Pelodiscus sinensis: one gene and its partners. The protein of the gene in region 3 purifies or fractionates together with the protein of the main gene of each other region. This does not show direct contact. Links are inferred from orthologs where the notes say so. Each region holds a gene or a part of one and is shown on either strand. Other genes may lie near its edges.

The links.
Region 1: the proteins of PLD2 (region 3) and DNAJC7 purify together in Homo sapiens (affinity purification with mass spectrometry; 3 studies listed by BioGRID and IntAct, counting the BioPlex papers as one, with this or other methods). This does not show direct contact. The link is inferred for Pelodiscus sinensis from reciprocal best matches to the Homo sapiens genes PLD2 and DNAJC7.
Region 2: the proteins of PLD2 (region 3) and DNAJA2 purify together in Homo sapiens (affinity purification with mass spectrometry; 3 studies listed by BioGRID and IntAct, with this or other methods). This does not show direct contact. The link is inferred for Pelodiscus sinensis from reciprocal best matches to the Homo sapiens genes PLD2 and DNAJA2.

What each region holds. Positions count from the first base shown.
Region 1 is NC_134739.1:9,682,615-9,690,472, reverse strand, and holds the start of DNAJC7 (dnaJ homolog subfamily C member 7), read right to left. Parts: upstream 3,004-7,858; 5' UTR 2,933-3,003; coding exon 2,850-2,932; intron 1-2,849. UniProt on the Homo sapiens protein: Acts as a co-chaperone regulating the molecular chaperones HSP70 and HSP90 in folding of steroid receptors, such as the glucocorticoid receptor and the progesterone receptor.
Region 2 is NC_134722.1:27,730,839-27,738,905, forward strand, and holds the start of DNAJA2 (dnaJ homolog subfamily A member 2), read right to left. Parts: upstream 3,049-8,067; 5' UTR 2,916-3,048; coding exon 2,838-2,915; intron 1-2,837. UniProt on the Homo sapiens protein: Co-chaperone of Hsc70. Stimulates ATP hydrolysis and the folding of unfolded proteins mediated by HSPA1A/B (in vitro).
Region 3 is NC_134734.1:8,309,203-8,316,490, forward strand, and holds the start of PLD2 (phospholipase D2), read left to right. Parts: upstream 1-4,217; 5' UTR 4,218-4,295; coding exon 4,296-4,334; intron 4,335-5,966; exon of another isoform or gene 5,967-6,104; intron 6,105-6,356; exon of another isoform or gene 6,357-6,484; intron 6,485-7,288. Other genes in the region: PSMB6 (proteasome subunit beta type-6), read left to right, coding at 1,694-1,825, 1,972-2,101, 2,673-2,817, 4,090-4,217.

The DNA of each region.
Region 1 (7,858 bases), on a different chromosome or scaffold from region 3:
GGAACAACCTTACATTAGCCACAGGAAGGCTGTGGATTACATGAAACTTTGTAGGGCTTTCCCAGTACTAAGAATTTCTGTAACTCTGTGACACTTGGATCCTTTATGTAGCATTGAAGTGCCTTTTCTACAACGTGATTTATATATGTAATTAACACCCTCAAGGTGTTACAAATACTTCCGATGCCACTGCCTTGGCCTCACCCTTTGAGAGCTAAGCAGCAGCAGTACACATATCACAGGCCGCCCTTTTGAAACTGGAACTACTCCAAGGTACCTTTCAGTTTCATTTTGCCTTCCTGCATCAGTGAGGTGAACCCCTCTCTAGAATGACAGGCTCTGCCACATCCTATATGGGGTGGTATTCCCCCCCGGAGACATCCGGCTGCTGAGATTCACCTGCCTGTTTTAAACACTTGAACTTAGCACGGTGTTTCTTAAAGGCTGATCTTTAAATTTCATCCCCTGCTGTGACTGCAACAGCACAGCAGCAGGTGGAGATAAAAGCACTTGCTCTTGTAAAGAGAATTCATTACCAGAGGAAAGGGCTGGGATTCTCACCACACCACACCTCAGACGGTATCTGCACCACAGGGCAATATTTCCCAACTAGCTTTAGGCACGAAGCTGATTTGGTCTTTCAACAATTACTAACCCTGCCTTCAAAACATAGTGTACTTTGGAGAACCACCATACCCAGAGAACATTTTGACACAGGACAGGTATCTGAGAGCAGGACTCTGAGTGTAACTTGCTCCACGCTATCAGACATCTCCAACAGTAACTGTTCTGTACAGGTAGGTGCAATTGTAACTGTGAAGTCCTCAGGCAATGGAGTTAGAGAAGGGAAAAGGATCTGAACCACCTTCAAGGGGTTTGAGCCATGAGGATTCCCCCTCCACACCACATACAGAGTTTAACCCTAGTCTTGGGATTCTCCAACTTCACAACCGTGACCCCCTTCTGACAACAAAAGTTACTATGCAACCCCAGGAGGGGGACTGAAGCTTGAGCCCCATGGTCTGGGGGAGGAGGGAGACAAAGCTCCACTGCCCCATGGGGAAGGCCAAAACTGAACCCCAAGGCCTTTAGTCCCATGCAGAGGGCCTGTAAACTGAGTCCCACTACCTAAAGCTGAAACCCTCGGACTTTGGCCCCAGGGCAATGGGTCTTAAGCTTCTGCTTTGGCCTCAACCAGTCTAAGTCAGCACTTTGGGGTCCTGACCCCCAGTTTGAAAATGGCAGTGCTAATCGATACTGCCTCTGGGCAGAAATGATAAAGACGGGAGCATGCTATCCCCAGAGCAGTCCTGTCCTGAGAGAAGGACACAAAACTCTCGGAAACCCAGAATTACTGCCTATCAGTGTTTTGTATAGCACCCATCACGGGCACTATACAGTAGGCTGGGGTTTCTATATGGCACAAGATTTGGCCAAAAGACCACTGCACCTTTTCTGTATAATAGACCACAACTGGAATCACCCCTGCCTTTAACACAGAGGCATGTCTGGCAAAGGCCAGAGCTTAGCATCTGACATACAAGCCAAACCACCCTGAAACAAAGCATCACATGCTGGGGGCTGTTGGCCATGCTCCCCAAATCTGGCATAGAATCATAGAATAATAGGACTGGAAGGGACCTCGAGAGGTCATCGAGTCCAGCCCCACGCCCTCAAGGCAGGACCAAGCTCCATCTACACCATCCCTGACAGATGTCTATCTAACCTGTTCTTAAATATCTCCAGAGAGGGAGATTCCACCACCTCCCTTGGCAATTTATTCCAATATTTGACCACCCTGACAGTTAGGAATTTTTTCCTAATGTCCAATCTAAACCTCCCCTGCTGCACTTTAAGCCCATTACTCCTTGTCCTGTCCTCAGAAACCAAGAGGAACAAATTTTCTCCTTCCTCCTTGTGACACCCTTTTAGATATTTGAAAACCGCTATCATGTCCCCCCTTAATCTTCTTTTTTCCAAACTAAACAAGCCCAAGCATACTTATTAAAGGGCAGAAGGGAACTGAATTGTTGAACTTCCCTGACTCCACTGTGAACCCCCCCTGTTCTTCAGGGCTGAAATCAATTCTGCAGAGTCAGGACAGTAAGTATTAAGCATGTATCTGCTGCCATCTGCCTTCAGATTGGTCCAGTGAAACAGCCCACCATAACCTTCTCCCCGGTTACTGATCAACCATCCATCCTTGTTCATTATACCGTAATCTCTATGGTGCAGGGATTTACAGCCTGGACACTGCCGCCAGGGCTGGGTGCACTAGAAATGCCCAGACGGCATTCCTTGGGAGTTACCCGTTATAAAACCCCCAGTAGGCCCAGGGGGTTATAGACATGGCAAGGTATAAAAACCATTCGGGCTATGGCGGGGTGGGGGGGAGAAATGCATCTTTAGCTGGTAGGTTCACCCCCGACCCCCCACCCACTCAGCTTGAAAGGGGGGTTCCTGAACGATCACCGGGGTGAGCGGCATCTGCACAGAGCATCCTTGTGGGGGGGGGGTGTCACAGGGGCACCCCCCCATCACCCCGCCCGAGGGGGCGGATTTCAACAGAAGGAAGAGGCGGAGGGAGGGTTGATAACCTCGGGGGCCAGCGGGGCGGGGGCGGGCTGGTGCTGCGCTCCCCCCTCCCCCCCCCCATAGTGCGGGAGGGGGCCGGGGCCCTGAGACACCCCGGAGCTGGGAGGGTCACAGGGCCGCGAGGGGGGGGGGGCTGGGGCTGAGAACCCCCCCCCACCGGGCCCCACTCCCCTCCCCCACCCCAAGGGGCCCCGACCCCCCCTTCAGTCCCTCCCCCGGCTCTCTCCTGAGCCCCCCCCCCGGCGCCCCGCTACCTGCGAGTCTCCTCCTCGCCGCCCAGCAGCCCGGCTCCCTCGGCCGCCGCCATGATCACATCGCACTCGGCCGCCGCCGCCATCTTACAGCCGGGCCGGCAGCCTGGGGAGGGGGAAAGAGAGGCGGCGGCGGGGGGAGGGGGGGAAGCGGAAGCGACACCGACTTCCGGGAGCAAAGAGAGGCCGGCGCGGTCCGTCAAGAGGGGCCCGCCGCGGGAGGGGCCACCGAGAGGGCGCTTGAGGGGCCAGAAGGGCCAATCTCCCAGGGGGGAGCCTTGGCCAACTTGGGAGGCTGGAACGGGGGGTTGGCCTGGCCAGCTTGGGGGATGGGGGACCCGGACCCTGGCCAGCCCGAGGGTGAGGGGGAGCCCGGGGGAGGGGGTAGAAATACGTGGGGCGGGGAGACCTGGCCCGCTTGGGGGATGGGAATGAGGGCCCCCTGGACCAGCTTGGGGGATGGGAATGGGGGCCCCCTGGACCAGCTTGGGGGATGGGAATGGGGGCCCCCTGGCCAGCTTGGGGGATGGGAATGGGGACCAGCTTGGGGGATGGGAATGGGGGCCCCCTGGACCAGCTTGGGGGATGGGAATGGGGGCCCCCTGGACCAGCTTGGGGGATGGGAATGGGGACCAGCTTGGGGGATGGGAATGGGGGCCCCCTGGACCAGCTTGGGGGATGGGAATGGGCCCCCCCCGGCCAGCTTGGGGGATGGGGGGAGCACTGACCAGCCTGGGGTGATGGGAGGCACCTTGCCCAGCTCGGATGAGCCCAAACTTGGCCAGCCTGAGGGGAGGTGCTGGGGGGGGGGACCCTGCTTGGGAGGCAGCAAGGGAGCCATGATGGTGACTTATAGAGGGCACCTGAGATTGGCACAACATGGAGCGACGATGGGTGCGAAGTGACAGTGGCCATGAGGGCCCCCCGGCAATGCAGCATGATGAGCTCTTGGGGTTTGTTCAGCACCCGGCACAATGCATCCTGATCCCCCAAAGAGCCCGCCTAGGTATGATTGTCACACAGGTGATAATAAATGGCTATGAGAATGTGGTTGTAAATAGTGAACTGCCATGCTAAGGCATCTTTCTGCTAAACCCCTGTCACATGGCACCCAACGGTCACCGTAACCACATCAACAGATAATAGTCATGTAAAAATAATTGGCTTCCTAAACATTTAGCTGTGCCTATGCCTTAGGCCAGTGGTTCTCAACCCACAACCCAATCAGCACATAACTACGGCCCACGTGACATCCCCCTGGGCTGTACAAGTAATATATCTATTATGCAGTTGCAACCCACATAACACGGAGAGAGTTGCACATGCAGCCTACAATGGTAAATAGGTTGAGTCTGTGGTATTTCCTACTTAGGACCTTCGGCAAAAGAGACCTGTGCAGGTGGACTCCTGCTGCCCCACAGAGTCTCATTAACTCCAGTGGGGATCCATGCAGGAGAAGGGATCAGCCCATGCGGGTCTCCTTGCAGGATTGTGTTGGATTGCATGTAGGTTGTGCACTCTCTAGGCCAGGAGATGTGTCTTCACTTGCTTTAGCGGTTGCCTGAAGCTTCTCCAGGTGCTTGATGTATAATTAAAAAACATTAATCATCATAATGTTGCCTTTTAAAAGCCATTTCTTGCTTTCTCTCACACCAATGGCCAGATCTGAGCTAAGGTCATCTCAAATATTCTTAACGCTCGGTGGGGGTTAAACCGTCACTCTGGATTTCAGGATATTTGCAGCCGGAAAGCTTAGCTAGCTTCATAACCATCTGGAATCTCAAAGAAAAGAAGATCAGGCTGGTGGGAGTGGGGGGAACTTTCCCTCCATATTTTCAGACATGCTATGTAGCTCCACTTCCTTGCAGCTCTCCCTGCTGTGGCGAGTGGGGGGAGGGGAAAGGGGGAGCCTGAACCCTTCTGCTAGCCCCAGCTTGCCCCAGGCCCCACAGGCTAACCTAAGTATGGGGAACAAAATACAGGACTATGTAGCACTTTAAAGACTAACAAGATGGTTTATTAGATGATGAGCTTTCGTGGGCCAGACCCACTTCCTCAGATCAAATAGTGGAAGAAAATCGTCACAACCATATATACCAAAGGATACAATTAAAAAAAATGAACACTGGTATATATGGTTGTGATGATTTTCTTCCACTATTTGATCTGAGGAAGTGGGTCTGGCCCACGAAAGCTCATCATCTAATAAACCATCTTGTTAGTCTTTAAAGTGCTGCATAGTCCTGTATTTTGTTTCAGCTACACCAGACTAACACAGCTACATTTCTATCACTAAGTATGGGGGACCATTCTGTCCATAGGACGATTGGGGTGGCTGCTGTGGGCCCCGCTCCCCCCAATGCACAGGGCCCGGGGTGGCCGCATCAAATCGTTCTATGGATGGGATGGCTCTGCACACATCTCTCCTGGGCCACAGGGATGCAGCGCTAGCAGCGAGGAGCTGCTCTAGCCTTGCCGTGCTACTGGTAGCGGCACCGGAACCCCTGTGGGGGGGGGGAGGGTTAAGTTGCCCAGAGATGGCAGACAGTGCCGGGGGATGCATGGGAGAAGAGTGCATAGACTAGCAGCTGGGACCGGGAGACACGTGGGGGGTGTGAATGTGTGGAGACTCCCCCCCGAACCCTGCTAGAGAGGGGTGCCTGCTGACCCACTAGGTGGATTTGAGGACTGGCACTGGCTCCAAGGTAAAATGAGTTTGAGACCCCTGGTTTACAGTTTGGTTCAATGGCTCTCAACACCCCCACTATAAAAATTGTTCCAGCACACTTTGCTTTAAAATAGGTGTGATTCTAGTGGCAATTAGTTGCCTTAAATTTCCTTTTTGTGTGTGTGTGTCATATTTGCACCAGGGCGTGGGAGGACTGGAGGAAGGGGACAGGTTTCAGGAGAGCCCCACTTGAGTGGAACATGAGGGCTTCTGGCCTCCCAGCTGGGGGTCAGGAAGCCACCAGATAAGCACAGAAGAAACATCTCTTTCCTACAGCTCGGCTGGGCAGTTGCATCTTCAATGCGAACAAAACAATTTGCAGGGTCTCCTCCCTGTGAAGTTACAAAGAACATGGGGCCACGGATGAGCCATTGGTGTGAATCTGGAGTTAGATAACAGGTTTGGTTTAAAGTCTCAGACTGGTGGCCCTGTTAGTCAGTATCTTAAAAAATGAGGATTCCTGTGGCACCTTAGAGACTAACAAGTTGATTAGGGCATATGCTTTCGTCAGTAGAACCCACTTCATTAGATGATTGACCCTTTTTCTTTTGCTTCAGAGGGGTAGCTGAGTTAGTCTATACAGGATAAACTTAAAAATCAACAAATGGTCTGGTAGCACTTTAAAGACTAACAAAACATAGATGTATCATGAACTTTCATAGACACAGCCCACTTCTTCAGATGACTGCTGAAGAAGTGGGTTGAGCCCACAAGAGCTCATGATACATCTACATGTTTTGTTAGTCTTTAAAGTGCTACCAGACTATTTGTTGTTTTTTAAGTTTATCCTTTCTTTTTGTTATCCATGTGTGTGTATATATATATATATATATATATATATACACACACACATCCCCGCCTCTGTAAACTCCACTTCAACTCATCTGATGAAGTGCTTTTAACCCACAAAAGTTTATGCCCTAATACATCTGTTTGTCTCTAACGTGCCACAGGACTCCTCGTTGTTTTTGCAGCTCTGGTGTGTTTTTTGCAGGGTACTGAGCCAGCCTGGTCGGCCTCTCCTGAAAAAGCAAGCATTGCACAGCCTGTTTTCTGCAGCTCTAGGTGGTGCTGTCCTGTGGTTAGCAGGCTCTCTCTCCTCTCCTTTGCTCCCTCTTGCTGTCTCCCTGATTGCCCCTTCATTGGTCGGGATGTGAGTCAGTTAAGCCTGCAGTTTTCGGAAGAGGAAAGCAGAGACAGACAGCTGTCCTGAGAAGGTAGGTAGAGGCCTCCCTCCTCAGAGATTTACTGTGCCATCTGGATGGGGGCAAAGAGGGAGATACATGATACATAGATGCTTAGAGGCTCCACACAAGAGCCAGCTGCCTCTGGGAGTCCAGCCTGACAGCTGGGCTCATTAGCATGCCCAGGCTGCAGTGAGGATCAGGGCCTGGACCAGTCTAGCCCTGTGCTGCCCCACTCCCCTGCCTTGCAGCGATTGCAACCCCCCTACTTCCAGCACCTTCGTTGGTTTGTTCCTGAGCCGAAATCTCAAGGAGCATGCATTTGCACAGAAGGGGGGGGGGGGTGTAGAATAGGGGGAATGCAGGATATGCCATCAGTGCTCCCCAGCGTGGATCACAGTGGCTGTGTCTAGACTGGCAAGTTTTTCCGCAAAATCATCTGTCTTGCCAGCTGTCTACACTAGCCATTTGAATTTCCGGAAAAGCACTGACGATCTTCTGTAAGATCGTCAGTGCTTTTCCGGAAATGCTATGCTGCTCCTGTTCGGGCAAAAGTCTTTTTCCGAAAGACTTTTGTGCAAAAGGGCCAGTGTAGTCAGCATAGTATTGTTGTCCGCAAAAAAGCCCCGATCACGAAAATGGCGATCGGGGCTTTTTTGTGGAAAACCGCGTCTTGATTGGCCACGGACGCTTTTCCGCAAAAAGTGCTTTTACGGAAAAGCATCCTGCCAATCTAGACGTGCTTTTCCGAAAATGCTTTTAACGGAAAACTTTTCCCGGAAAATCATGCCAGTGTAGACGTAGCCAGTGTGTGTGTGGAAAGGGGGGCTTATGAGATAGAAAAAACCTAGTGAATCATTTCCTAGCCCAGTGGAAACTGAGCCCCAAAACTATTCATGGAGGCAGGAGAGATTGGTCCCTCTTTGGGAGATGGGGAACGGAAGTACTGCAAGGTGAAGAGACTTGCCCATGGCCACCCAGGGAGCCTGTGGCACAGCTGGGAAGTGAACCCCCATCTCCTTAGTCCAGTGGCAGACCTGCACAGTTGATTTTCCCTCTGCCCCTTACCAGCGCAGGGTTTGGGCTCAGATGTCTCCCAA
Region 2 (8,067 bases), on a different chromosome or scaffold from region 3:
TTGTAAGTATGTTACAAAAGAACGGCCATACTGGGCCAGACCAATGGTCCATCTAGCCCGGTAGCCTGACTGCTTATAGTGGTCAATACCAGATGCCCCAGAGGGAGGGACCACAACAGCTAAACCTTACATGATCCCTCTCCGTCATCCATTTCCAGACAAACAATAGGCTAGGGACACCTTTCCTACCCATCCTGGCTAATAGCCATTGATGGATTTAACCTCCATGAACTTACCTAGTTCTTTTTTGAACCCTGTTAAAGTCCTAGCCATCACTACATCCTCTGGCAAGGAGTTCCAGAGGTTGACTATGCCCTGAGTGGGAAAAAAAAACCTTCCTTTTGTTTGTTTAAACCTGTTCCCTATTAATTTCATGTGGTGACCCCCTACTTCTTATATTGTGGGAATAAGTAAATAACTTTTCCTTATTCACTTTTTCCATACCAGTCATGATTTTATAGACCTCGATCATACTCTCCCACCCTTAGTCTTCTCTTTTCTAAGCTGAAAAGCCCAAGTCTTTTTAACCTCTCTTCATATGGGACCTGTTCCAAACCCCTAATCATTTTTGTTAGCCATTTCTGAACCTTTTCCAATGCCAATATATCTTTTTTGAGATGAGGCAATCACATCTGTATGCAGTATTCAAGTGGTAGGCATACCCTGGGTTTATATAGAGGCAATATGATATCCTTTGTCTTATTCTCTATCCCTTTCTAAATGACTCCTAACATTGTTTGCTTTTTTTTGACTGCTGCTATACATTGAGTAGATGTTTTCAGAGAATTATCCACAATGACTCCAAGATATCTCTCTTGAGTAGTTGTAGCCAAATTAACCCCCATCAAATTTTTATGCATAGACAGGATAATTTTTTCTAATGTGCATTACTTCGCATTTATCAACATTAAAATTAATTTCCCATTTTGTTGTCCTATCACTTAGTCTGGTGACGTCTTTTTGAATCTTTTCACAGTCTGCTTTGGTCTTAAATATCTTGAGCAGTTTGGTATTATCTACAAATTTTGCCACCTCACTGTTTACCCCTTTCTCTTAAAACCCCCCCCCACAAAAACAAACAAAACAAAAAAACACCTTAAAAAGCAATGAATAGCCTTTAAGATGCTATTAGACTAACAAAACATAACTTACTAACAAGTGGATGATGCCCATGAAAGCTCATGATACCATCAACATGTTTTGTTAGTCTTTAAGGTGCTACTAGACTATTTTTTTTAAGTTTTTCTACTTACAGACTAACTTGACTACCCCTCTGAACCCTTTCTCTAGATCATTTATAAATACATTGAATAGGATTGGTCCCAGGACAGACCCTTGGGGACACCACTAGTTCTCTCTCTCCACACTGAAAACTTACCATTTATTCCTATCTTTTGTTTCCTGTCTTTTAACCAGTTATCAATCCATGAAAGGACCTTCCCTCATATCCCTTGACAACTTACTTTGCTTAAGAGCATTTAGTGAGGGATCTTGTCAAAGGCTTTCTGGAAATCTAAGTACACTATATCCACTGGATCCCCCTTGTTCACATGCTCGTTGACTCCCTCAAAGAACTCTAGCAGATTAGTAAGGCATGATTTTTCTTTACAGAAACCATGTTGACTTTTCCCCAACAAATTATGTTCAGCTACGTGTCTGATAATTTTATTCTGTATTATAGTTTCAACTAATTTGCTTGGTACTGACATTAGAATTACACGTTCTCAGTATTTAGACACCCAGTTAGGTCCAAATTAATTAACGAGAGATTACGTGCTTGGCACTGAGAGATAGCTGGCAACTTTACCATTAACTATTTAAGTATACTTTGGACTATGTACTTGTTTTGTTTTATAGGTATTAAACAATTGCGTTTCCAAGACCACCATTCATACAACAAACAAGATGCCCCAAACAAGGTTTCTTTCTGTAGACAGTATGATCATACTTGGCTGCCATCATTTCATAGCTTCCTTTTATCAACACGTATTGGACATATAGTTTCATAACAATTAATGCCCACCCCAAACAAATTTGGCTATCACGTGCAGATACCTAGTTCACTGCAGCAGCACCACCATTATTCCAAGGGATCACAGGCGGTGACCAGTAAATACCTAACCAAGGCTATGATGTACTTTTAAGTGCTAGGTGATGCAGTTGGGAAGTGGGTAAGGAGTGGCTGGCATACTAGAAGATTAATACAACCAATACACGTTTAGAGGTCAGTGATGGGTATAGGGTAATGAGGATCCCAAAACACTGGGCTCTAATGCTCAGCTTCCTTGTTTATTTTCCCTAGGTGCTTTCAGCTTGGGAAAGACCAGCTCCACAGGGACGGGCCGGGGAGACCCAAAGGGGGCCCATGCTGCTGCAGTCAGACAATGGCAGTGGCTGGAACGCCACTTTCAGCAGGTTTCAGGGCTGAAGCCTCCAATCGCGATGGGATCGGCCCCCAGGGCACCACGGAGAGCAGGCGACGCTCCCTCAGCGCACGGGGCACGCAGTGAGGAGACACGCGCAGGCGGCTCCGGGCAGGGAACCCGGTCGACCCCCTCACGTTAGGCGGAGACCCCCCCCCCCCAGCGCCCGGCCAGGATCCCCTCCCCCACCCGCGGCCCCGCTCCCTCCAGCGCCTCCCCGCGGCCTACTCGCCTTCCCCGGCGCCGGCCAGGCAGGCCCCAAGCGGCTTCGCGGCGCGGCCTCGCCTGGAAGCCGCTTGGGGCCTTCCGCTCGGCCTGACCCCCGCCAGCCCGGCCCGGGGCCTCCCCGCCTCATCGTGACCTCCCGGCTGCCCAAGCGGGGCCTGCCCGGCGCGGCGCCTCCCCGGCCGGTACCTTCTTCAGCTCGTTGTCGGAGGCCCCGGGCGGCACCCCCAGGATGTCGTAGAGCTTGGTGTCGGCCACGTTCGCCATGGCGCAGGGACGGGGCGGGCTGGCGGCGCGCGCGGGACAGGCCGAGGGGGCAGCGGGGCCGGCAGCGAGGACGAGACCGGGACCAGAATGAGAGAGGCCGCCGCGGCGTCACCCACGCACGCGCGACGTCACCGCGCCGCCCGACGCCACCATTCGCCTTCTGCGGCAGAGCCCCGCCCCTGCGTGTCCTTCGGGCGCACGCCCCCCGAGCGGGGAGGGGCGCCGGCCGCCCGAGGCCACGCCCCCTCCCCGCGTTGGCCCTGGGCCCGGCTCGCGGAGCAAAGTTGGGGGAGGGCGGTGCTCTGCCTCGCTGCTGCACTTCCCTCCCTTGCTTTGCACAGAACAGGTCGGGCCAAAGGTCCACCTAGCCCAGTAGCCTGCCTGTCAGCAGTGGCCAATGCCAGGTGCCCCAGAGGGAGTGAACAGAACAGCAAAATACAGGACTATGTAGCACTTTAAAGACTAACAAGATGGTTTATTAGATGATGAGCTTTCGTGGGCCAGACCCACTTCCTCAGATCAAATAGTGGAAGAAAATAGTCACAACCATATATACCAAAGGATACAATAAAAAAAATGAACAAATATGAAAAGGACAAATCACATTGCAGAACAGAAGGGGGATGCAGGGGGGTGGGGGTGGGAAGGGGGAGGAAGGAAGGTAAGTGTCTGTGAATTGCTGATATTAAAGGTAGGGAGAGTGGGATGTTTGTGAGTTAATGGTATTACAGGTGATAATTGGGGAAACTGTCTTGGTAATGGGTGAGAAAGTTCAAAGACTTGTTAAGTCCTTGTTGGCAAGTGTCGAATTTTAACATGAATGACAGTTCAGAGGATTCCCTTTCAAGTGCAGATGTAAAAGGTCTTTGTAGCAGAATGCGGGTGGCTAAGTCATTTAGAGAGTGTCCTTTCTGGTTAAAGTGGCAAGAAACTGTTTTCTCTTTGTGATCTTGTCTGATATCTGTTTTGTGGGCATTAATCCTTTGGCGAAGTGTCTGAGATGTTTGTCCAATGTACATAGCAGACGGACACTTTCGGCACATGAACAGAACAGGTAATGGTCAAGCGATCCCTCTCCTGCCATCCCTTTCCAGCCTCTGACAAACACAGGTTAGGGGGGCACCACTCCGGCCCACCCTGGCTAATAGCCATTAGTGAACCTAACTTCCATGAATTTATCTAGCTCTTTTTTTTAACCCTCTTAAAGTCCTGGTCTTCACAACATCCTCAGGCAAGGAGTTCCACAGGTTGACTGTACACTCTGTGAAGAGAAACTTCCTTTTTTTTTTTTGTTTTAAACCTGCTGCCTATTAATTTCATTTGGTGACCTTTAGTTCTTATGGGAACCAGTAAATAACTTTTCCTTATTCACTTTGTCCATATCTGTCATGATTTTGTAAACCCATAGTCTCCTTTTTTCTCTACTGAAAAGCCCCAGTCTTTTTAATCTCTCTGTATATGGCATCCATTCCAAGCCCCTAAAATTTTTTTGCCCTTTTCTGAACCTGTTCCAATGCCAATATAGCTTGCTTTTTTTGAGATGAGACGATCACATTTGTATACAGTATTCAAGATGTGGGCACACCATGGATTTTTAAGGCAATAAGATATTTTCTGTCCCTTTTAAAGTTATTCCTAACATTCTCTTTGCTTTTTTGCCGGCTGCTGCACATCGAGTGGATGTTTTCCAGGCCTGTACGCAGGGTGTGTGCAAAAGGTGCAAAAGCACTCTCCTATGCTCCCCCAAGTAAGCATGATCCAGCTATTCATGGAAAGGGAGTGGCATGCTACCTGAGCCTCCTTCCCCCATGCTCTGGCTGGCTGGGGGAAGGCTGGGGCTGATTTCCCTGCTTACTTGGGAAACCATGGGAGGGGGGTGTATTTAAACTCTTGCAGTCCACATTTACAAAAAAATCACCCCCACACAAATTCCTGTGTACAGGCCTGTTTTCAGAGAACTATCCACAGTGACTCTAAGATCTCTCTCTTGAGTGGTAATAGTGATAGAAATGTAGCCGTGTTAGTCTGATTTAGCTGAAACAAAAAACAGGACTATGTAGCACTTTAAAGACTAACAAGATGAGGTGATGAGCTTTCTTGGGCCAGACCCACTTCCTCAGATCAAATAGTGGAAGAAAATTGTCACAACCATATATACCAAAGGATACAATTAAAAAAATGAACACATCTGAACATATTTCCTTTTCATATGTGTTCATTTTTTAATTGTGTCCTTTGATATATATGGTTGTGACAATTTTCTTCCACTATTTGATCTGAGGAAGTGGGTCTGGCCCACGAAAGCTCATCACCTAATAAACCATCTTGTTAGTCTTTAAAGTGCTACATAGTCCTGTTTTTTGTTTGAGTGGTAATAGCTAAATTAGTCCCCATCATTTTGTATGTATAGTTGGGATTATTTTTTTCCAATGTGCATTACTTTGCATTTAACAACATTAAAATTCATTTGCCATTTTTTTCCCCTAGGGACTGTTTTAGTTGAAAATGCATTTCTCAAGCTTTTCCCTTTCTATACAACATTACCCATATTCACCCAGCCCCGTTTGCTTCCTTCCACAGCTTCAGAAGCTTTATTTGAGTTTCCCCTGAGATTTGTTTTGATTTACCTCTGCCCCACATAGGCTGGGTGTCCTCTCACAATAAATAACCAGCCTGAAAATTGCTGAGTCATGGAGCAGAGGTTCTAGGAAACTCTCTGTAATGTTAAAAAACGAAACTAATATCACTTCTGCTTTTTTTAAAAAAAATCTTCATTATAGTTAGGTTGTGTTCGTGCAGTTTGTGTCTTGATCATGCATTTTAAAGGAAGGGGTCACTTGTTAGGCTTTTAGTAAGTTGAACGCTATACAGTAGTTACTGTGTTATGTGTGAATAAGTGGTAAACAATGCCTGCTATTCTCGGGACTTTTCTGAGTTAACTAGCTTATTCTGGCACATGAAACACAATTTAGAATGGGGTTTAATCATGATATTTGAAACCAGATCTGAGCTTTTCCAGAGTAAAGAGGGTTTGGATAGGATGTTGATACACATGCATTTTACAAAGATAGGTCAGTCTCTCCTGCATTGTGGTCCAAATTTCTCCAAAATACAAGAAGCGTATGCATCACTACATACATATTATAAATAATTATATTGGATTATTATTATTTGGACCAGTGGATTTAATTTTTTTGGCTCTAAGATGTACTTACTGCTTTAGAAACATCTTGCTAATATTTTGGTAATTACAATAACACATTTGTTTTGGCACCTTGTGGAAACATTAGGCATTATGTGAGGCTGCACTGGCCCATAGGGGCACAGAGTAATCTCCTGTGTGGTTCTTGGCCCAAGCCAGCCAGATCTTTATATATATATATATATATATATATATATATATATATATATATATATATATATATATATATATAAAGGTTTAGGAGGAGATCCTGGTTGTATTTAATAATAAGAGACTTCTCTCTTTAAATCTTGCATAAAGAGCAGCCTCTCACCCTTCTGCCCAGGTGAACCCCTTTAACTATTAACAAATATAGTATCATAAGCTTTTGTGGGCAAAATCCACTTCCTCAGATGAGATGAGAGGAAATCTCTAAGGTGCCTTAGGACTACTCATTGTTTTTAAAGTTACAGACTAACACAGCTACCTGTCTGAGCTCTTTGCCTACATGTGCCTCATTAAAGTGCTCTAGAATGCAGTATACATAGTTTCAGGATAGGGAGGCAATTGTCTTCATGCATTTATGCAGAAAGAATAAATCTTCCCCACTCTGTTGCTGTCCAAGTACTTCTGAGCCTTGTGAAGAATGATCTACCTGCTATAGGTGAGTCATGGTAGCACTCAGAAGATGCACTGCCCTCCTATGCCGACATTTTAATTGCTAAATGGGATGCACCTCTGCCCAGCCCTTCCTGTACCCCTTCCTGTTGCAGGCACCAGTCACCCCTGCCATTAGCCCTTCTCTTGCTCAAGATTTGGGGGAAGAGAGTTGGTTAAAACTTGGAGTTCAACCAGTGTGAAACCTGAGGTGAAAATGTTCCCACTGATACTGCCTGTACTGCCTGGAAAGATCACACAGTGACAGATACTTGAAAGTGAGGCTGATGGTAGCTTTGGTGAGGGGGACAAAAAGTAAAGAGAGGCCTGTTAATGCACATTTGAAAGAGACATGCTTCTGCCTAAAGGTATTTCCCTTCTCCACCTGTATGTCAGCCCACCATTCTGCAGACTATGCATTTTCTTTCCTGAGAGACCCTTGTTGCCTCAATCCAGTGCCGCATTATGCTATGTATAACCAAAAATGTTAAACTACCACATAACCCACCAGAAAATACATAAAGTAAGAAAATAATGTTGAAAGATGAAAGTGTTCTGAGCCTGCTTTGAAATAGAGTAAAGAATCAACAGCCAGGATGAGTTAGGTTTTACCAAACCGAGATAATATAAGCAAAGGTCAAATACTGAGAAATAGAAAAGAAGGATTTCCTTCTCTGGCATTATTGCCAGCATCTATCCATCCAGTATCTAGGTAAAATATAAGCCATGAAAATATACCCCTTATATTTACCCCTTTTTTTGGTTCTGTTTCTATCCATCCCTTCTGTCATCATGTTCCTTCCATCTTCTCCTTCTCAACCACCCCGACAAATTGATAGTAAACAAAAGTAATAATGTACTGGAAGGGAATTGCATTTAAAACTTCAGCAGCTGCTACATCAAGTAGCTGAGGAATTAGTATTATCTTTAAAAGAAATAATATAGTCTTTATTACTACCAAATATGTTGTTTTCTCTAGGTTGTTTATTACTACCAATTTTTTAAGTTTTTCCAGTTACAGACTAATTCAGCTACCCCTCTGAAGCTTTCAAATATATTGTGTATAGCAAGATTTAGTTAAAGTGAATGATACAATTCAAATCTCTTTCAGCTGTTATTTTGGGCTGCCTGCAGACTATAGGTAGATGCACTTTTTTAAATTAAAGATGAGATTCCCATTTCATCATGTGACTCCAGAAGCTACTTATGCCTTAATCTGACCTTGGTTAGTACCCAGATGATCTTGCCTGGATTTCTGTCTGAGCCCATTGACTGGGAAGAACTTTGTGAATGTAGAGTGTATGATGTGAAGGC
Region 3 (7,288 bases):
CACACTGCCCTCTTGCGCAAGAGCTCCTGTGCAAAGAGGGCTTACACGTGTTAAAAAAGAGCATAGCTCTTGCACAAGGAGCCGTCTCTTCCATGCCATACTGTAAATTTCCTTTCGCAAGAGCAGGCGGGCAGTGTAGACACTCTGCGGATTCTTAGGCAATAACCCGCCAGTGTAGACATAGCCTATGGGTTTTGCTGCAATCACCCATCCTTAAAGGAGGTGTTAATCTTTGACCTTTGATAGTGATTGTCAGGCTTCTCATCGTTCTCTCTCACTCTTGGTGGGGTTTCTACCTGTCTTCAAGGTTGTCCATGCTGCCAATTTAATTCAGTCTCAAGACACAATGCAGGGTTCCTTATTGTCTTCAAAGTTTCCACTTCTTGATCATCTGCGCATCTGTGATGGCTTTCATTCACACGCCTTCTACTCACACCACACAAAGGTGCAGTTTCAGACAAGATCAATAATTACTGAAAGACACAACTTAGTTTGTGATGCAGACAAGGGTTACAACTTAATTTGTAATGCTAACAGGGAGCAAGGCCTTATAGTAACATTATCTACTCATGAGAGACAGAGAGAGAAATAGAAGCAGATAGAACTTATAAGCAAGTCATTATACATCAAATAATCAGGTTTTGACAAATCGGCTTTATCTACTCGCCCATGGGGAGTAGTTTTCAGCCGGTCACCCCGTTCACTGGCGGTTCACGCATGTGCAGTGCTGGTCTCGCACATGCGCAGTGCGGGGCTGGCGAGTGGTTTTTGCTGCAATCGTCGAGCCTGCAAATAATTATACATCATACCTAGTTTTATAATGAGGGCTCGACAAATAATACAGTCTACTTGCCCGTGGCGAATAGATTGTAACCCGGAAGAGCCGGATTCGGGCCGAAAAGTGCAGCTGGTGAGCAGGGCTTGCCACGGTTCGGTGGGCCCTGCTTATAACCGATACTAAAATATACATTTTTGCTACATCCTGAGGGAGGGCAGTGGCTGTGTTTTAGTATGATCCCCCAGGGGAACTTGGGCGGTGGCTGAGTTTTGATAGGGTCTCCTGTGGGGCAGGGCAGACTGTTTACAGGGGCCATGCAAGAGTCCTTTGCAGGCTCTGGATGCTCGCGATGTAAATGGTTATCTGGTTAACCGGTAAGCATCACCCTTAACCTGTGGGGGCTGGAGCAGCTTCCTTCCCACAGCTCCAGCCCCACGGGAGCTGCTTCAGCCCTGTGGGGCCCTCCACGGGTAGGGGCTGCTCCTGCCAGCTGGCCAGAGAACCCCCTGGCCTTTTTGCCTCACAGGTTGCACACTGGCTCCCTGGGAGTGCACCGGTGGCAGAGCCTTCTCCTGGGAAGCTGGACTGGCAGTCCAGGGAGGCTTCATTGCCTATTGCTTCATACTGCAGAGCCTGCAGCATATAATCACTGAGATTTTTAGCAGTTACACGGGTACATTTTAAAAACTTTTTACATTCTTACTGGAGGCTGGTGGTTACGAGGTGTCTAACCGATGGGGCGGTGAGGAAATGACACATCCCTGGCCCAGTGTTATTGTAGGGTTTCCTGAGTGCACTGGGGCCGGATGTGTCGTCTCCGTTGGCACCTGCGTCTCATGGGCAAGTTTGTTATGGTAGAGTGTCAGGGCGGTGGGGCTCTGTAGGGCACTGATCATCTGACTCCACCTTCCACAGCTCCTATGTGGCTAATCGAGTGACGGACAAACTGACGCCCATCCACGATCGGATCTTCTGTTGCCGCTCTGGCTCTGCTGCTGACACGCAGGCCATTGCTGATGCCGTGGCCTATCAGCTGGGCTTTCACAGGTACCTGCCCTGGGCCACATCAGAGCAGGCTCTCCATTCCCTGCCATCTGAGCCAGCCTGTCCCTGTGCAGGGGCTGGGCAGGAGCTGGCACCCCCTAGAAGTCAGTCCCTGGTTCCTCTCTGACTGTGGTTCCCTCCCCCTGCAGCATTGAGCTGGACGAGCCACCCCTGGTGCATACGGCCGCCAGCCTGTTCAAGGAGATGTGTTACCGCTACCGCGAGGACCTCACCGCTGGCATCATCGTTGCTGGCTGGGACAGGCGCAAGGGGGGACAGGTGAGCGGTGTCATCCTAGGGCTCAGCCCAGCAGGTGGAGTTAGGGACATAGCCCTTGGGGGCACGCAGAGTCAGGGTATCTCTAACGAGCACTGTGGGACAGGGAGTGGGGCAAGGGATCACTGGGGGCCTCAGAGGTGACTGCAACTTAGCACTGGATGAAGGGTCCCTGGGTAATCTGCCATCTCACCCCACAGGCAGCTGCATCTCAGCTCTGTGCAAGGGGTCTCTGTAGCCAGCTGCCCCGCCCCACAGGTGGCTGCATCTCAGCACTGGGCAAGGAGTCCCTATTAGGGATTTGAAAGTGACTGTGTATATGGTCACGTGTGGGGAGCTGTCTTAAAAGCCAGCACCTGGTGCACACCAGGTCATGAGGAGCTGTTCTCCTCCCCCCCCCTCCCCCCCACGCATAACCATGTAACCATTGAAACTTTCAGCAGTAACTCGTTTAATTAAATGCATTGTAACATCCCTAGTCCCTGTGTACCTGGCTTCTCAGCATCGGGTGAGGAGGTCCTGTGTAACCAGCCACCCTGTCCCAGCCATGATCTCTCCGTCTTTCTGCCCCAAGGTGTTCTCGGTGCCCATGGGTGGGATGATGGTTCGCCAGCCTTTCTCAGTGGGTGGCTCAGGTAGCTCCTACATCTATGGCTTCGTTGATGCCTCCTACAAGCCGGGCATGAACCAGGAGGAGTGTCTGCGCTTCACAGCCAATGGTGAGTAGACCCTCAGCTTCTCACAGCTAGGGATGTGAATGGGTAACTAGTTACCCAGTAAGCATTACATGTTGCCCAGGAGCAGCCCCTGCCTGCCTTAATGTTTAACTGATTAAATAATTAAACGGGATTTTACCCCTCTATCCTGGGCAGCTGGGACCCAGGCATCCAGGATGGCAGTGTGGGTTGTATGTCCATAGAAGGAGGTGTTACCCGCTCAGATTTCTCTATGCCTTCCACACTGTAGGGATACACACCTTTACCCAGTTCCTAGGGCTCAAAGTGCAACCCTGTTAATTTACACACTCACCCGTACCCAATTCCTAAGGCTCAGGGCACATCTTTCTGCGGGTTAGGCAGGATCTTTAGCCACTGAAAGAGCCTCACACAGTAATATCCGTATCCTCTATTTATTGACAATTCCCAAACAAGCAGAATACACATGCTAAGCACACAGTGTCATGCTCACCAATCCTGGTACAGGCAGACTTCCCCTGTTGGCCAGGGAAGGGGAAGATCTCTCTAGATCTTAGCTGCTGCAGTCACAGTCTGGTCTTAGGCTGTGTCTCGGAGGTGATTTTTTTCTTCTAGGTCTTCCCCCTTCTTCTTGGTGTTTCTTGTCTGCTTTTGGTCTTCCAGCCTTTTGCTTCTTTCCTTCTGCTTCTGTTACTTTCTATCTTCTTCTTGGTCTCCTTCTTGGACCTGAGTTTATATAATGAAACCTGAGTCCTGCTTAGCTATACCGTAACCAATTATTTTAGTATAATTTTACTAACCAATCATACCCCACCACCTTAATTGATTTACACCTAGCAAAATTAATTATACAGCAGACAGGAACAGTTAAACCAGACAGATCTCTCAGTCAAACAATAGGAAAGTGTAATGACAATGATCATAGAATGAGGATTCCACAACATTCTCTATTGATAAGTAACACCATTCTGTCTGGCAAGAAACTGTTTAAGTTTTCTTTACCCATCTTGAGATCTGTTTCTTTATCTGGTAACAGTGGAGGAGCTATCAGGACAAAATCCCCTCCTCACAGATTGGTGTGATGCTATTTGAATACAATTTAGATGGAATGTGAGGATGTGACTTGAGGCCTTACAGCTAATGGCTACTGCTCTTCAGTCTGGCTGCAGAAGGTGGATTTGGTTCAGGCCTTCCAACATGGCTACAGAAAAGCCATATTGTTACAGAGGGGTTGGCCCAAGGCATCTATGCTGTGCTTATCCCCCCCCCGTATGCTCTCCTCTTCTCCCCTTGCAGCCCTAGCACTGGCCATGGACCGGGATGGCTCGAGTGGGGGGGTGATCCGGCTGGCTGCCATCACAGAACAGGGCGTGGAACGGCAAGTCATCCTGGGAAACCAGCTGCCACGCTTCTCTGCTGCTTGACGGAGGACACCCTACACACCCTGTGCCACTGACTTATTAAACTATGGAACCCATGATGTGCCTCAATGATTCCACAGGATGCCTGGGTTCCCTGCCCAGCTTGGGGGAGGGGAGCCTGTAAGCCAGGACTCCTGGATTCTTTCCTTGTCTGTGGAGGGGAGCGGGGAGGCCTGGACTCGGATTAACCTGGTGCTGATATGCAGCCACTGCGGGGGTTAGAATGTGCCTATTCTCTGCCCTGCAGATCCAGGGGCTGGTCTTCTGCCGGGACTAAGTTGTGCAAAGGGGCCAGGCTGGGGTGGGGGCTGTTTACAACTGGCACCACTCAATCTTGCCCACCAGCCTCAGCCCCTACATGAGACCTGATGGAGCACATCTGGTGCCCTTCAATGCTGATACACAGCCCCTGCTACCCCAGTCATAGGCTCCCCCAGCTGTGCTGCTGACCCTCACTCCTGCCCTACAGCCCTTGCCAGCCTAGGAGTGACACTGGTGGGAGAAGTTTCTAGTTGTTGGGCTGTGGCATAGGGTGGGCATTTGGGGGCCACTCTGGCTCAGAGCCAGTGTCCCCCCAGCCCAGGTTCCTACACCAAAACCTCACCTGGCTCTGAATCTTCTTAATGGAAATGGATGTGGGGGGGGAATTAACACATCCTGCCTCCCACTGCTTACCGCAACCCCCTCCAACCCCATGTCCAACCATAAGGGGCCCTCTTGGGTGAGAGCTCTTTGCAGGGTTGAGAGTTTAGCCCAAAGGGCAGGGGAATCTGGGATGCTGGCTTAGGGCCTTTCTGTGAGTCCTAGTCTTTGTGCTGTCAGCAGGGCTGGTTGGTGCTGGGGGTCCCTGTTTCCATGCCAGCAGCTGGAATCCCTGACCATGAGGTTGCCCCAGTCATCAGCACATGAAGTCGATGGCCATGGGGCTGCCCCAGTCAGCATGTGGATTTTCTGGCCATGGGGAGCTGGAGCCAGGAGACTGGCTGGCACTGTGGGGCTGCCTCAGTCATTAGCACGTGGAGTTGATGGCCGCAGGAGGCTGGGGCCATGGGGCTGCCCTCATCAGCACATGGAGTCAATGGCTGTGATGGCACAGCTCAGCTGGTGGTAGGAGACTCATGCGTTCTGGCTGGGGCATCCAGCTTGCTACAGGTGGAGGGTGTGGAATGGGCTTGGGGGGCAGGTCCCCCCTCTATGGGATGACCAGGGGTTGCTGGAGGACAGGAAAGGGAAAAGGTTGGGTATCTTGGAGCAGGACAGTGGCTTGCTTGCAGGGGAAAGAGGGCATGGGAGTGGGATGCAGGGTGGGGGGGGGGGTCTGGGAAGGGGGCTTCTGGAGTAAGGGATGAATGGGTGGGGGGAGGATGAGAGATACTCACCTGTGGGCTGAGGGCCCCTTTGCTATGCCCAGCCCAGCAGAAGCACCGCAGGAGCCTCAACCCCATCTGCCCAGTGGCTTGTGGGGCAGAGCAGGGGCTCTGGCAGGGTCTGTGGTGGGGGTCTTTGCCCCCCAACTCATGGGGGTTGCAGCTGCAACCTCCTTCCCTCAGAACTCTCACAATCTGTGCAGGGGCCCTCAGACCCAGCCCCCCTCCCAGCATCACCCCAATGGCTCCCCTGTGCCCCATCCCTGGGCAGGGAACCTGGCACCTCCATTGCCCTGCCATTCCTTTCCTCTGTCCCCCAAAGCTACTTAATTCCTTACTTCCTACCCCAATCCGGGCCACTCAGTCCCTTGTCCACCCCCCTTACCTGCAGATCTCTGGATGCCTGGGTCCCGCCTAGCCTTCCCTGCTCTCAGCTATGGAGCTGGGTGCAGCTGGCTCTGGGGCGTGTCTGCCAGGCACTGCCTGCTGGCAGCTTCCCAGCCTCCCCAGAGGTACGGGGCTGGACTGGCAGGGGCTGCGGGTTGGGAGTGCGGGGCCCTGGCAGGGCTGGGGGAGCCAGGGGCTGCCGGGAGACGCACCCCAGAGCCGGGCCGGGCCTGACCTCCCAGCCCATGGCTCTGTCCTGATCCCCAGTAGAGTCTGGGGAGCGCTCAGGACAGCAGCAGTATTTGTTATTGTAGGGTCTCCCCGAGCAACGCCCCCACCATCCCACAGGGACCCAGCCTGTGGGGCGGAGTGTGCCCTGCTTGGGATAGGGCGGAGGCTGCTCTGTCCCGGGACTGGCTCCAGCCCCCTCCCCCACTTCCCTTCCCGGGCAGCGCCGCCGCCTCCCGCCCAGCCCGGCGCGCCGCAGGGAATCGGGGCCGGGCGGGGACGCCCCGGGTAAGTGTCCGGGATCCCCGTGCGGGGGAGTCTCTGGAAACTCCCTTCCCCGCCTTGCAGGGGTCTCCGGCCTCCTGAACCCCGCGGTGGGGGGACTGGACCTGCTCTCCGCCCATAACAAGGGCAGGCTCCAGTTGGTTCGTGGGAGGGGTCTCGGTTCTCCCCTGCCCCTTCCAGACAGGGACCCCCCTGCGTGCAGCCACGTTGGAGGCGGCGGGGGGAGCTCTGACGGTCCGCTGCCCCCCCCCCCCATCTCGCTGCCCCACGTGACTCGTAGCGGACTCCAAATCTCCGTGAACTTCTAGCACTTTTGTGACGGGGGCGGGAGCGAGGGGCGCCGGCAGGGCTGTGGGTGGGAGCGAGGGGCGCCGGCAGGGCTGTGTGTGGGAGCGAGGGGCTGTGGGGATGCGAGGCCCGGGGGCGGGAGCGAGGGGCGCCGGCGGGGCTGTGTGTGGGAGCGAGGGGCTGTGGGGATGCGAGGCCCGGGGGCGGGAGCGAGGGGCGCCGGCGGGGCTGTGGGTGGGAGCGAGGGGCTGTGGGGATGCGAGGCCCGGGGGCGGGAGCGAGGGGCGCCGGCGGGGCTGTGGGTGGGAGCGAGGGGCTGTGGGGATGCGAGGCCCGGGGGCTCTCTGCCAGCGCCACCCTTCCCAGGCTTAGAGGAAAGGAACGTTGTATAACTCCCCAGCCCCGCCTGCCCAAACCTGCAAGCTCAGGCGCCGCTCTGGTGCCCCCGGCTGCTAGTCGTGTCCCCCCCCCGTTACAGCCGCATCTCCCCTCCCAATAAACCTGCATCCACAAGAGTTT